3 linked regions of the Coturnix japonica genome follow. The protein of the gene in region 2 purifies or fractionates together with the protein of the main gene of each other region. This does not show direct contact. Links are inferred from orthologs where the notes say so. Each region holds a gene or a part of one and is shown on either strand. Other genes may lie near its edges.

The links. The genes of interacting proteins can lie anywhere in the genome.
Region 1: the proteins of AAR2 (region 2) and TSSC4 purify together in Homo sapiens (affinity purification with mass spectrometry; 3 studies listed by BioGRID and IntAct, counting the BioPlex papers as one, with this or other methods). This does not show direct contact. The link is inferred for Coturnix japonica from reciprocal best matches to the Homo sapiens genes AAR2 and TSSC4.
Region 3: the proteins of AAR2 (region 2) and PRPF6 purify together in Homo sapiens (affinity purification with mass spectrometry; 3 studies listed by BioGRID and IntAct, with this or other methods). This does not show direct contact. The link is inferred for Coturnix japonica from reciprocal best matches to the Homo sapiens genes AAR2 and PRPF6.

What each region holds. Positions count from the first base shown.
Region 1 is NC_029520.1:10,938,797-10,943,074, reverse strand, and holds the start of TSSC4 (protein TSSC4), read right to left. Parts: upstream 2,883-4,278; 5' UTR 2,216-2,882; intron 2,204-2,215; exon of another isoform or gene 2,114-2,203; coding exon of another isoform or gene 2,096-2,113; intron 2,015-2,095; coding exon of another isoform or gene 1,890-2,014; intron 1,870-1,889; exon of another isoform or gene 1,851-1,869; intron 1,328-1,850; exon of another isoform or gene 1,248-1,327; intron 1,066-1,247; coding exon of another isoform or gene 993-1,065; intron 58-992; coding exon of another isoform or gene 1-57. UniProt on the Homo sapiens protein: Protein associated with the U5 snRNP, during its maturation and its post-splicing recycling and which is required for spliceosomal tri-snRNP complex assembly in the nucleus.
Region 2 is NC_029535.1:174,060-178,357, reverse strand, and holds the start of AAR2 (protein AAR2 homolog), read right to left. Parts: upstream 2,963-4,298; 5' UTR 2,897-2,962; coding exon 2,146-2,896; intron 1,412-2,145; coding exon 1,182-1,411; intron 1-1,181. UniProt on the Homo sapiens protein: Component of the U5 snRNP complex that is required for spliceosome assembly and for pre-mRNA splicing.
Region 3 is NC_029535.1:8,485,547-8,489,902, forward strand, and holds the start of PRPF6 (pre-mRNA-processing factor 6), read right to left. Parts: upstream 2,883-4,356; 5' UTR 2,805-2,882; coding exon 2,734-2,804; intron 1,983-2,733; coding exon 1,814-1,982; intron 1,042-1,813; coding exon 923-1,041; intron 318-922; coding exon 239-317; intron 1-238. UniProt on the Homo sapiens protein: Involved in pre-mRNA splicing as component of the U4/U6-U5 tri-snRNP complex, one of the building blocks of the spliceosome.

The DNA.
Region 1 (4,278 bases), on a different chromosome or scaffold from region 2:
CGCAGGCCCAGGAATGGCTGTAAATACGGTTTTCCAAATGTCCAGCAGCTTTAATGCCTACAATATAAAAGAGCATGAAAATTCAACTGCGCAATGAAAATCACACGTATGACCATCACTCTGGGACAGGCCTGATAATGATTACTGCTATATCACAGTACATTGCTGTGGAACAGATGCACATTAATATTAAAGACTTCCACAAAATTCAGTACAAGAATGCAAAGTAATTATAAATAGTGATGCACTGAATTTCACTGAAGGTAACAGCAAGACCAATTGCTAAATGATGAGCATAAGTTTTTTGAATATAACTGTTCCACATATCTTCTTCCAAGAACAGCAGTGACTCTCCAAAGTACACCGTTCATTTACCCATACCATATAAATCCATAAAAACAAATCCTAATCTCTTTTGTCTGTTGCAATTCTTCATTGCCAATTCACATCCGTCCCCAATCATATTCTACGTATTAAAAAGGGCCCTGCTGCTGATCAAGGAATGTGTCAGAACAGCCTGTAATGTCTCAGAGCTACAGTTCTGTGTCAGCTTTAAACTGACAAAGTACAAGGTGCACTCCTTCCTTGGCTTTAAGCTTTTACGTTATTACTAGATAGTTGCAATCACATGATAAGTGAGCGTGAGAAATGAATTGAGACAGATTATGAAAAATAATTGCATATGCCATGCTTGTGTGAGCACACTGGAAACAAGGGGAGGGTGCAAGCAATGGTCAGCAAGAGCTGCCCATTTGGTCAATCAAAAGACACAGTGACCTGAACCCTGAGTTCCAGTACAGTACAGGCTGAAACACCACTGCTTGTTGGGCAGTCAAAAATAGACTTGGCAAAAATACACTTCAGTTCAGCTCTCCAAAACGTGAATTAGGGAAAGTGTTCTCATTTACTATTAGGTTAAGTTAAACTACACAATTATAGGTTCTTCTGAAAAGCCGCAGTAAACAGACATGGAAAGTGTGCTGGTCACTCACTTTCTCCTGAGACTGAGTCAGCTTCCCCTCCTGAGGGTCAGTTAAAGCCACCAAAGATCTCAGCACTTCCACCCTAGAAAACAAACATTTCCATCAAGATACTGGAAATGTAGTTTTAAAAAGAGTTTTGAAAATAATTCTTTCTCCCTGAGTCACCCAAAGCTACAGAGCAGAGTTCTAAATCTGACACAAGCTCAAGCTTGCATAAAAAAGTCTTCAGATAATCCTGAATACTAGCAAAAGAACAGCACAAACCTAATAGGACAGGCTCCACCACAGTTACTCAGTCTCCACATTCACAAAGCCAAGTCTTATTCTCTACAACAGAAGAGAGGCTTTAAAAAAAAACAAAACAAAGCTGTAATTTACACATGCAGTAAACTATTAGTAAATGTACTGTGTTAACTGCAGCCAAGAAGGTACCAGATATGCACTGCAGGTACTACATGCCAATAGGAAAGAGACCCAGGACACCACAGAGATGCCTGCAAAGAAAGGTTGTATTCACCACTGGGGACAGATCTGCATGAGGAATTAGTATGTGGAGAAGCTTGCAAAGAACTGAATGGCCTGAATGCTGTGTTCTGTGTAGTCTGGCTGTGTTTTGACACCGTTGCTTTTGAAACGTGGCCTCTAGTGCAACCCCCAAATGCAAAATAATCATTTGAAGATCCTGCACCTTTCTCTTTAGTTTTATAACACATGAAAGAAACGAGTGCAACTCAAAAGAAACACCAAAAAGCAGGGCTGAGCAAAACAGATGTTTCAGGCTATGAATGAGGGCACCTCTTTGCTAAGAGCATTTGTACAGAAAGGGAAAACGTTGCTACTGGAAGAATAATTTAACAGTGTTAATACCAAACACGCAGATGCTGACAACACACCAGACAAACTCACACGTTCATTACAGCAACGTGGGCACTGCACAGCACACACAGGCCCGTGTCTCTCTGGCTGCCACGTTCTCCATCAGCCTCTCCCATCCTGGCCTTGCTCTGCTGGCTCTGCTCACCCTCCTGCAGCTGGGAGGCAAACACAGAGCTCCGTCACCCCAAATCTCGACCCCATTCTCATCGCACAGACAGCACTACGACACAACCCACCGCCGCACCCTGCACCATGGGCCCATATACCGCATTCCTTGCCAACCTAGGACCCAGCTCCCCGGACCGGGATCCCCCCCCCTCCCCGCTCACACCCAGCACCGAATAAACGCCCCATACCCCAAAGCCGCGCAAGCCCGGAGGAAGGTGGAGGTGGGGAAGTGCAGGAAGCAGAAGTACAACCCTGCTTCCCGTTAGCGTCACCTCGCTTTGCATCCTGAGAGTTGTAGTTGTCTGCGCTTTCCCCGTTGGGGGCCATTTTGAGAGCGACGCGGCCGGACTACAGCTCCCAGGAGCTCGCCCTCCATTTTGCAGACTGTGAAGCTGTCGGGGGTGGCCCCTCCTCATCCAAACCGCGTGGAAAAAACAAGTCAGGCGTTGGTTTTTTCCTCATCTCTTGGGCTTGGCAGCAGCGAGCGGTTCAGAGGAAGCGTGGAGTTTTTATTTGCATGTACTTTATAACCAGAAAGCCTTCAGTCACTGGGGTGTGAGACAAGTGTCCGGCCAAAAGCAAGTTTCCATCCTCTGTCCCAAAAGAACATTTTTTTGTTCATGTGTCAAGATGTGGAATTCTGTCGGAACATGTTTTATTGGTGTTGGCTGAGGCCATCTGGTTCTTTTCCCCCTTCTTCAGCTAAAAGCTTTAAGTTCTAAAGCAGAGGCTCTAGAGGTGTTTCCCCATTTGGTAAGCCTTTCCTTAAACATATATACATGTACAGCGGAGACACAGGCAGATGGATTCCTGTCTGGAGGGAAGAGAGAGGAAAGCAGGGTCCTTTGGCGTGTGAGCAGAAACAGGAGTCACAGGCAAAGACAGGCAATGGGCAGGGGAGACACAGACAGTGGCTGAGGGCTGAGCCTGCTGCATAATGCTGTCTGGGCATACCAGCAGCAGGCAGGGAAAGGATGTGCATTAAGCGTGGTCATGCCCTATTTTTGTAAGGGTGGAGGCAAGCAGCATAAGCCATGGATCTGGGGTTGGGCTTTTCTTTGTCAGGATGCAGCTGATGGCTAAGGTTACTACATCAGCTGTCTGTATCCTTTTACTCCTTTCCTGTCGCTGTGCAGAAGGTGAGTCTCACACACTGCAGAGAACTGGGGATGAGCTGTTCTTTGCTGACTGCAGACAAGGCAATTCACGATGGTGAATGTGCTGTTGTGTTGGGATTTTTGCTATTGCTTGGTGACAGCTGAAATAAAAATAATGAGTCAGATCCTAAAGAAGAACAGATGGTAAAGCCTAGCCCTAGCCAGCGTGAACTAAGATGGCTTGAAGAGGGGTGCGGGACTCGACATGGCTCTGTGTGCCATCACAGGACATCTTCCAAACAAGTACACTATGCCTGGGGCAGGCTTAGCTCTTGTGCAGAGATTGCCCTGTGCCTCTGCAGGGAGCAGTGCGTCTCCGTTCAGCCCTGCTGCTGGGAGCCTTGTGTTCCTTTCTTGCACATAAATCTGCTGTTGGCCCCTATCCGGTGACTGTTTCCGCTGCTCAATTGGCAGGCTCCAGCCCCAGCCTATGCACTGAAGGCTTCTGCACTTGGAGCCTGGGAGAGGCTGCCTGTCCTTCTCTTCATGGCTGTAGGAAACTGGCAGGCAATTCCCCGGCAGCCACTGTGATACTGAAGGCCAAGCACAGCGATCCAATGTATTTTCTCCATCTCATGCGCCCAGAACAACTGTGGACATGAGTCTGGTATGGCCATGCTCAGCTTGATGCCAGAGTTCATGAGGGGAAGTAGGGAAGGAAAGGAGCATTTTCCTGTAGGTAAAAATCTCAAGCACAGCGTTGCACAGCACATCCTCCTCTGCTGGAAGACTGCAGTTGCACCGAGCCAGAATGAGTAAAGGCTGGGGGAAATAATCACCTGACCTCTCCCATTTACAAGAAGGAAAGCCTATAAATATCCTTGAAACCCAGTGGGATGTTTCCAGGATTTGGTGCTTAACACTGCCTTTCTCCTACATCAGTTTTTGCTTACCTGTTTTACTTTATGCTTTCTTTTGGCTCTGGCTCACATGCAAGCAGGTTTGACTTATTCCAGTGCTGTGTACTCACATTGGAGTTTTCATCCTGCTAAGTGAGCAATGAAAAAATCAACTCATGTGGAGGGAATATATTTAATGAAGACAGGTATCAACCTGACTCTTCCCAATGACAAAGTTACTGCCAACCTGTAGGG
Region 2 (4,298 bases):
AGTTTCTGCTGCTGAGATTTACCAACATAATTGCTTATGGTTTCTTATTTTTAAAATCACATTTTGCTTGGATTTAAAGTTTTGGTTTATTCATAGAATCATAGAATTACCCAGGTTGGAAAAGACCTTGAAGATCATCAAGTTCAACTGCAGCCTAACCAGTACCCTAACTCTAACAACCCTCTGCTAAATCATATCCCTGAGCACCACATCCAAATGGCTCTTAAACACATCCAGGGATGGAGATTCATCCACCTCCCTGGGGAGCCTATTCCAGTATTGCTGATCTATCAGCAGTTGCAGTGACTGGGAGTGACTTACAGGTTTGCCCTTGCCTGTCTCAGCACCAGCAGTGTATTTCTGCTGTTTGGACTGACCATAAATCCCATACAAACAACAACCTGATTTCAGGAAACCTTCACGTTTGCATAAAGCAGGCAGGAGCAGAAAGGCTTCTTATATGTTATCCATACCTTCAGCTCAGTAAGATTTAGCTGCAACTTCCCTGCAGGCTGAGCACACCATCCAAGCTGATCAGAAACCACCACCACTCTTTTACACCAAGCCACGTGTTTTTAAACGAATGGTATTTGGAGGGGAAAAAAACTGATCAACAAACAGACACCACTTTGCACTCGCTCAGCCCCTCTCGGAGATGTTCAGCTTCACACAGCTGAAAGCCCAGATCACTTTTAAAACAAACATGCTGGTTCCACCCAGTCACGTCAGTTGTCCCACTCCAGAACTCCAAACCTGCACCAATGGACCAGATCACGGTCAGTGCTATCTTCAAGGAAAACACAATAGAGAAGACTCAGGCCTCACTCTGTGCTGCAGCTGTCAACAGCCTCTCCCCTCAATACCTCACTTTGCTGGCACGTGCGTGCGGACCAACTCCAGTCCACGGTGCTTTAAATGCTTGATCTGCTGAAGGCAATAAATGCTCGATGTGCATTGGTAGATCAAGCTCATAGATGACAAGAGAGGTCATTTCTGTGTGAGCAACGCCAGGAAAAAGTAAAAGGAAATGTCAGTGTGCCCTCACGGAGGACACAGGCTCCCTATCTCTGGCAGACTCAACAGCAGCTTACTTCCTCTTGAAGCTTCTCTCTGTATCTGTTTCAATGCCCTGCATGCCCTGCATTCTGACTCCCATGGATCAAGAGAACGCACAGCCGTACCTGCAAGGTGCTGGTCAGAAAGTTGTCCTGGGAGACGATGTCCACAAAGAAATCAGACGGGATTTCATTCAACTGGTGGTACAGGACAAAGATGAGATTGGCATAAAGGTCCTGATACTTTGCAATGGCAGCTTCAGAACGGCACAGGATGTTTAACAGTCTTTTCCAGTGCTCAAATGCATCGTATACATTCCCAATCAGGAAGCAGATAAAAGCAAACTGCAACTCAGCTGCAGGTATTCAGAAAACAAAACAAAACAGGTAAACCGAGGTATAACCAAGGCACACATCCTCTAAAAAGCTCTGCAGATGACTGCATAAACTGTAGGTTTAGCTTGGGCATATAAACAACCTTCAGCCCTCTAAGTGACTCTGCAAATGGCGATCAATACTGCCAACACCGATTATTTCCTAATGCTCTGCTCTTCTCCCATCTGGAGAGAAAGCACAGTGTAACCGGGCAGGGCTCCTAATTGTGGCTGCCAGCTCTGCAGGGCGGTGCTGCTGGCACTGAGTGAGGAGCTACAGGAGCACCTGCAACACTCACAGGTGCACAGACCTGCACACAGCCACTGCCGGCGCCCTGCAGGCGTTCACCTCCTCCTGTACCACGGCTTGCAGGCGCTGCCCCCAGACGCAGGGATGAGAACAACGGAGGTTGTGAGCAACGAGTGTTTGTCTCTTTTTCAGAGCCAGGACTCAGCCTCGCCAGGCGCTTCTCACCAGCCAGAACCGGTGGCTCTGAAGATTGTTACCTGCACCCGATGCGATCACCTTCGCCTCCCCTCCAATCGCCCGCAGGAATTCTGATAACGAATGACTCGTGTAACACGACAGACCACGTGAAAAACAAACGCTCACAACTCAGCCCAGCCGGGCTCCCGGCCCCTCCACATTCAGCACCCGCCCCCCGGCACGGCCACGGCCGGAGCTCCGCCCGGGGCTGTCCCCGCCGCGCACTCACCGAGCAGGTCCTGCGGCCGCCCGGCGTAGCGCCGCGCGATGACGTTTTCCAGCGCGTAGCTGAGGTCCATGCAGTGCCTGGTGATCTCCTCCGGGCTGGCTCCCTCGGGGTACGTCCGCCGCGGCAGCTCGGTGAAGCGGATCTCGGTTCCGGCTCTGGGCCGCATCTCGGGCAGCCTGGCCACGCCCTCGGCGTAACTCCCGCACCCCGCGTCGTACGGCGGCAGCTTCTGCCCCGCGCGGTCCCGGCCGAGCCGCCCCTCCCGCACCGGCAGCACCTCGGAGAAGGCGCAGATCCGCCCGCTCTCCGGCCGCAGCCGCTCCACCGCCGCCTCGCCCACGAAGCTGCTGAGGGCGATCCACTTCTTCACGGTGTCGTACGGGTACGGCCCGAGGAACGCGTCCATGTCCCGCAGGTCCCTCCCGAGCGCCTCCTCCTCTCCCGGCGCGTCCCGCAGCTCCTCGCTGCCCGGCTCCCAGCGCAGGGCGCGCACCTGCCGGGGCCGCAGGCAGAGGAACAGCCCGGCCCGCGGTCCCGTCTCAGTGCCGCCGGCGGACCGGGCCGCGCTGCAGTGCACGAAGTGCACCCCGGGCGGAACCATCTTGACGCCGCGGAAGCGGGGCCCCACGGTCCAGCTGCTGTAGTCGATGCCGAACTCGGTGCCCTCGGGGACGCCCAGGACGATCACGGCGGCACCCTCGAAGAAGAGCCGCTTGGCCAGCTCCGGGTCGGCCCGCAGCCCCGCCATCATCGCGGCGGGCGGACAGGGCCGGAAACGCGCGGTCCTTCCTCCGCTCTGCGCCCGGGCCGCCCCATGCGCCGCGCACGAACGTTCCGGGCCGCAACTCGTTCCGCCTCCGCGCGGTCCCGGAGGCCGGGGAGCCCCGCTGCGCTGCGGCCGCTCGACGTGACGCCCCGACAGCCGAACCTCTGCTTCCGTCCGGTCTCCACACAGAAGCGGTCGCCCTCCGCCCCCATTAACCAACGGGTAATCCTTCACGATTAACAGTAACACGAAAGAGTAACCCTCAACCGCAACCCAAAGGGGGACCTTAGCCATGAACCAAAAGTGTAACCTTTAACGATAGCCCATATACTTAGCCTTAACACAAAAGGGTAACTGGTAGCCCAAACTGGTAACCCCAAGCCGTTCACTGTAACCCCAAATGAGTGAGCCTTCATCCTAACACAAAAGGAGAAACCTGAATGCTTAACGCTAACACAAAAGGGTAACCGTATCCATAGCCCAAAATATTAACCCGTACTCCTCAATTCTAACCAAAAAGGGTAACTCAACCCATCTCCCAAAAGGGTAACCCTTAGCCCTTAATACTAACCCTAAGCTGTAGCCCTCAAACATATCCCAAAAGGTAACACTTAATACCCAACCCTAACCAACAATGGTGACCCGCTTAACGCTGACACTAAATGGCAACCTCCAACCCCAAAGGGTGACCCTACAGCCCACGGCAGGACAGCCATGCAGCATCACCACCAACCACCACGTACAATACCTATGGGGGACAGCCCGCTATGCAGCCCCTGCATGGAGCCCCTGTCCCCATCTGCGCATCCTCTTTGGTGGGAAGGAGTCTGAAAAGGCCGCAGAGCTGGTTTAGCCTCAAACACATTTATTTCACTTTTATTGAATACAAGAACAGTGAGCACACACGCGTACACCACCGAGCACTGAAAAGGAGCATGACTGGAGGGGGGAGAAGAAGAATAAGGGAAAAGGGGAGTTAGTGAAGGAACAGCAGAGCACTGCAGTTGGTTGGTAAGGTGCTTTTCAAATATAAACATTATTGTTATTGTTACTGTTACTATCACTCATGCAATTGCAGGCCAGGTTTGGAATAAATCTGTGGGATCGGGTAAAAACAGGCACTCATGTCTCCCGCCCCTTGCAGCAGAAAGGCCCCTGGAAGAAAACACACCATGCTGAGCTGCCCCAGCCTGGCAGGTTGGTTTCATCCTATTTGTTTGTTGGTGCTTTTATTTATTGTCGTTTTCTAATTGAAATGCTGTCGCCCATTAAACAAGCTGTAAAAACCACAGAATGGGGTCCGCTCACTCCAAATATAACTCGTCTGAATCCACGCTCAGGTCAGCTCTAACTGTATAAGGCCACTAGTTTGAGCAGTAACCTTCCT
Region 3 (4,356 bases), about 8.3 Mb from region 2:
AGCTGTATTACCACAGAACATATTCCCACTCACCCCAAAAAGTATCTCACAATCCTCCCCCCCCACAACAGTGAGTAACTCTGAATGCAGCTCTCAATAAAGATCCTTCTGCTTTCTCAGGAAAGTAATTCTAATCTAGAGAATAACAAAGTACTTGAACAGAATGTGAGCAAATTAATGCTGAACAGTCACCTCCCATAACTCACACAGATACACTGAAGGCAAGATTTTTCCTTACTTTCAAGTCTGAGAACTGTTGCTGGATTTTGGGTCGTTCCATACGGTATTTTTCTATCTCCTCTTTTTCTCGTTGTTCCCTTAGAAAAAGGAGAACTGAAGTTATGCTCAGAGTAACGAGCCATTAAGCATCACAGAAAGATGTATTCCATCAGAAGTAAAGCATAAGCTTAGATCTTAGACCAAGCACAGGTTACAAACTGTGACAGAGGCCTCTCATGACATAAGACAACAGTGTAGCATAAAAACAAACATTCCTAACCAAGGAAACTTCAGGATTTACTCTTAGCTGCAGGCCAGGAGTATAATTAATTTTAATTAAATTAATTAACACTGGTTTACAAGACACCCACATCACACAACTTTTCTAATGATTTCCAGTGTGTTGTGCAATATGTGATGTATCAAAACCATCCCCACAGCATCTCCCAAAACCAACTTAATAAATATCAGTGAAGCAATTCAACCAAATCAATTCTCGCAGTAAGTTGGGCAAAGTACCCACCAACCTTAAGATTTATTGCCCTGGTGTCTAAAAGGCAGCACTGAAACAAATGAAACCTCTCAACACTTCAGCTAGTAGACACAGATAACATTTACAATGGAAAATGGAGGAGGCAGAAGAAATCTTTGAAACACAGATGAACTAGGAAGCGTTCCATACCAGTGCTCTAATTCATCCTACCTTCTTTCTTTCCTCCGTTCATCCATCCTTTTATCCAGAGCAGCATAAATAGCATCTGCTTCCTCATCATCTTTTTCATAGGGACCGCTCGAGAACAGGCTGCCAGCATATCCATTGAACTAAGAATTGGAGAAAAGGGAAAGGAAAAGCAGCATTCTCAGTTTAAAGCTCCTGTTATGTACTGAGAGCAGCCAGCTATCAGCCAGGACAATGAACATGGGTGAGCAGGCAACACAGCACTGCATCACATTAACACACCCCTTAAATGAAAGCAGCTTTCTTCTACCATCCCTACTTGTTTACTGTCCCTCAACATTTCTAAAGTAAAAGTGTTTCTATTTCCATATTGCATCTATTAAGCAATAAGCAAAATCCTTGCACGTTTTCTATACATCAATAACTTTATTTCCCCTCTAAGAACTACTGAAAGCAAACAATAATAATAACAACACAACATTTAAATAACCAAAGCGGGACACAGGAGACTGCACAGGCCACATGAATATGTATCAAATACATATCAAATATGTATGTAAGCACAAGAGCTTAGATTTCGTTTGTGAAAGAGAACAAAAAAGCACATCCCATAAAACAAAATCCCATAAAATAACGTTTTATTTATGGACCTCTTCCTGAGACTCTTAGTGCTCCATATAGATTCCTAGTGCTCCATATAGATAATGAAACAACTATATGGAGTCCAAAGGAGAATAAGAAAGGGTAAATATATGGCATTAAGTATAATGGACTTGCAATTGAAGCAGAGGAAATCCTGGCCTTGAATCCCCAGCTCATACAGAGAGATGAGTGAGAGAACTGCAGGAGAACTGGGAGCAAAGGGATTTCACTTCTGCTTAGGGATAAGCATCTCTAGGTGTGTTATCACATCACCTCATCGTAATTGGTGTCATTCAGATCCTCGTCATCATCATCAGCCGTTTGATTCTTCTTCATCTGATCCCCCACCGTCCTTTTCCCTGGTGGAGCATGGCGATCATCCACGGGGTCGTTGGCATCGCGTGCAGGGCCAATATCAGAGCGGGTGGTGAATCCTGTGGCGCTGTGTTAATAAAGCAGGGACGGCTCTTTAGCACAGTGAAACCAGAGGCAGCCAACAAGAACCATTGCTTAAAGCCAGGCAATAAGAACATAAGAACATCACAGGATGATCCGGGTTGGAAGGGACCTCAAGGATCATGTAGTTCCAACCCCCCTGCCTGGCAGGGCCACCAAACATACACATTTACTAGATCAGGTTGCCCATGGCCCCGTCCAACCTGGCCTTGAACACCTCCAAGGACGGGGCATCCACAACCTCCCTGGGCAGCCTGTTCCAGGCCCTAACCACTCTCCTAGTGAAGAACTTCCCCCTAACATCCAACCTAAATCTTCCCTCTTTTAACTTAAAACCATTTCCCCGTGTCCTGCTATTATCATCCCTTTCCAAGAGTTTCCTCCCCTCCTGGCAGTAAGTTCCCTTCAGGTATTGAAAGGCTGCAATGAGGTCACCCCGCAACCTTCTCTTCTCCAGGCTGAACAAACCCAACTCCCTCAGCCTGTCCTCATAGGGGAGCTGCTCCAGCCCCCTGATCATCTTCCTGTCCCTCCTCTGGACCCTTAACAAAACCTCCATGTCTTTTTTGTACTGAGGGCTCCACACCTGGACACGGTACAACAGATGGGGCCCTGCTTTGGATGCTCGCTGCTTTGGAAGCGGGCAGGGCCTGGGACCGGGCCTGGGACCGGGCCTGGGACGGGGGGTGCCCAGGCCGCGGCCCGAGGGGACACTGGGGGCCTGACGGTGGACTCACCCGCGGCCCAACCCCGGTACGTAGCCCAGGGGAGCGGGCATGCCCAGGAACGGCTTCTTCTTCTTGTTCATGGCGACGGCTGCTCGGTACGGACGGAGACGGCGGAGGAGAAGACGGCGGAAGTGATGGAGGAAGTGAGGGTGGTTAACCAGCGGGCAGAGCGGCACTTCCGCTCATGTTGTGTCGCGGGAAGCAGAGCGCCCCCTAGTGCTGGGAGGTCCCGAGGGGCCCATAGAACAGAATGGAGCCATCCCTGCACTGAGCAATGGGGGGGGGGGGGGGGTTGTTCCTCCACCCCTTTGCTCCTAATTGGGACTGTGCATCGCCTACCATGGGATGGATGCTCATATACAACAGCCCCAGAAGCACTTTGTGTATCTAAATACACTTGAAATGCATGGGGAGGGAGGGCACGGGAGCTGCAAAGGGCTTTTAGGGTCATCCATCCCTGCTGGGCTCCTTGTGCTCCGACACAGCTGCTGCAGTGAAGACAAATAACCCCATTCTGCACAATGACAAACCCAACCCCCAGCCACTTAGTGCCCATCTATTTTTGGGTTTGGCTGGAGCTGAAATGAAAACACCTCCCTTTTTGCCAAGCCGTTGGGTGCCAGCAGAGCTGTAGCGTTTCCCAGCTTTGGGGCTGGGTTTGGCCCTGGCCCATCTGCTGTTCCCCAGATCTCACAGTCTTTATGGCCAGGCTCATACAAGCCCAAGGCTGGGGTGGGTCTTTTGCTCTCTGCTCTGAGAGCTGCAGGAGTTTCACTTTGGGGGTTATTTCCTAGCAAACATAGTGGGCAGCACAGGGTGAGCACAGGGCTGAGGGTGGCTGGGAGCTCCCCATGTTCTCTGCTCATACATCTGGCTGGAGCCCGCAGCACAGGCACGGCTCCAAGCAAGGAGAAAACTCACTGGTAGGCTCAGTAAAATCAATCCTAAATGATTTTTAATCGTCTTCGTGTGCGCTCCTGGTGTTTCCTGTGTGCAGGAGCAGCGGGAGATGATGGAGCCTGAGGTTTAGAGCCATACCTGACCACAAACTGGGAGCACTGGGGGCTCTGCACGGGATTCCCAGTGATGATGGAGCAGAGCAGTGCAGCATCCAGCCCTGAAATGTCTTCACCCACTGGGATCCTGCTCTTTTCAGGGTAGATGTGGCACCAAGGGACAGTCAGTGGGCATGGCGGGGTGGGTTGGGGTTGGACTTGGGGATCTTGATGATCTTTAATTACTCTGATTCTGTGATTTGGGAATGTAAGGGTTCCTCCCAGCACCAAAGCAGCCCACACCCAGGTCTGGACGTTGGCACTGTGCACTAACCCACCTGGGACAGGAACCACAACACAACAGGAGTGATGCTGATAAGGGCAGTGCATCTCCCTTCCATCCCCGACATCCCCACGGCTCTTTTTGCTGAGGTCCAGGCTTTCCAAGTCTGATTTCTGCACTCTTACAAGCTGGCATCTGCAGGGAATGCTGTGCACGTCTGCATGGATACGCGTGGTAATGGCTCACAAAGGCTCCAAAGTGGAAAATCATCACTTAAATGGGAGCGCATTTAAGATCCCACAGGAACTGGGCAGCCCTGCACAGACCCACACAAAGGCATCTCTGTCCCTGCGC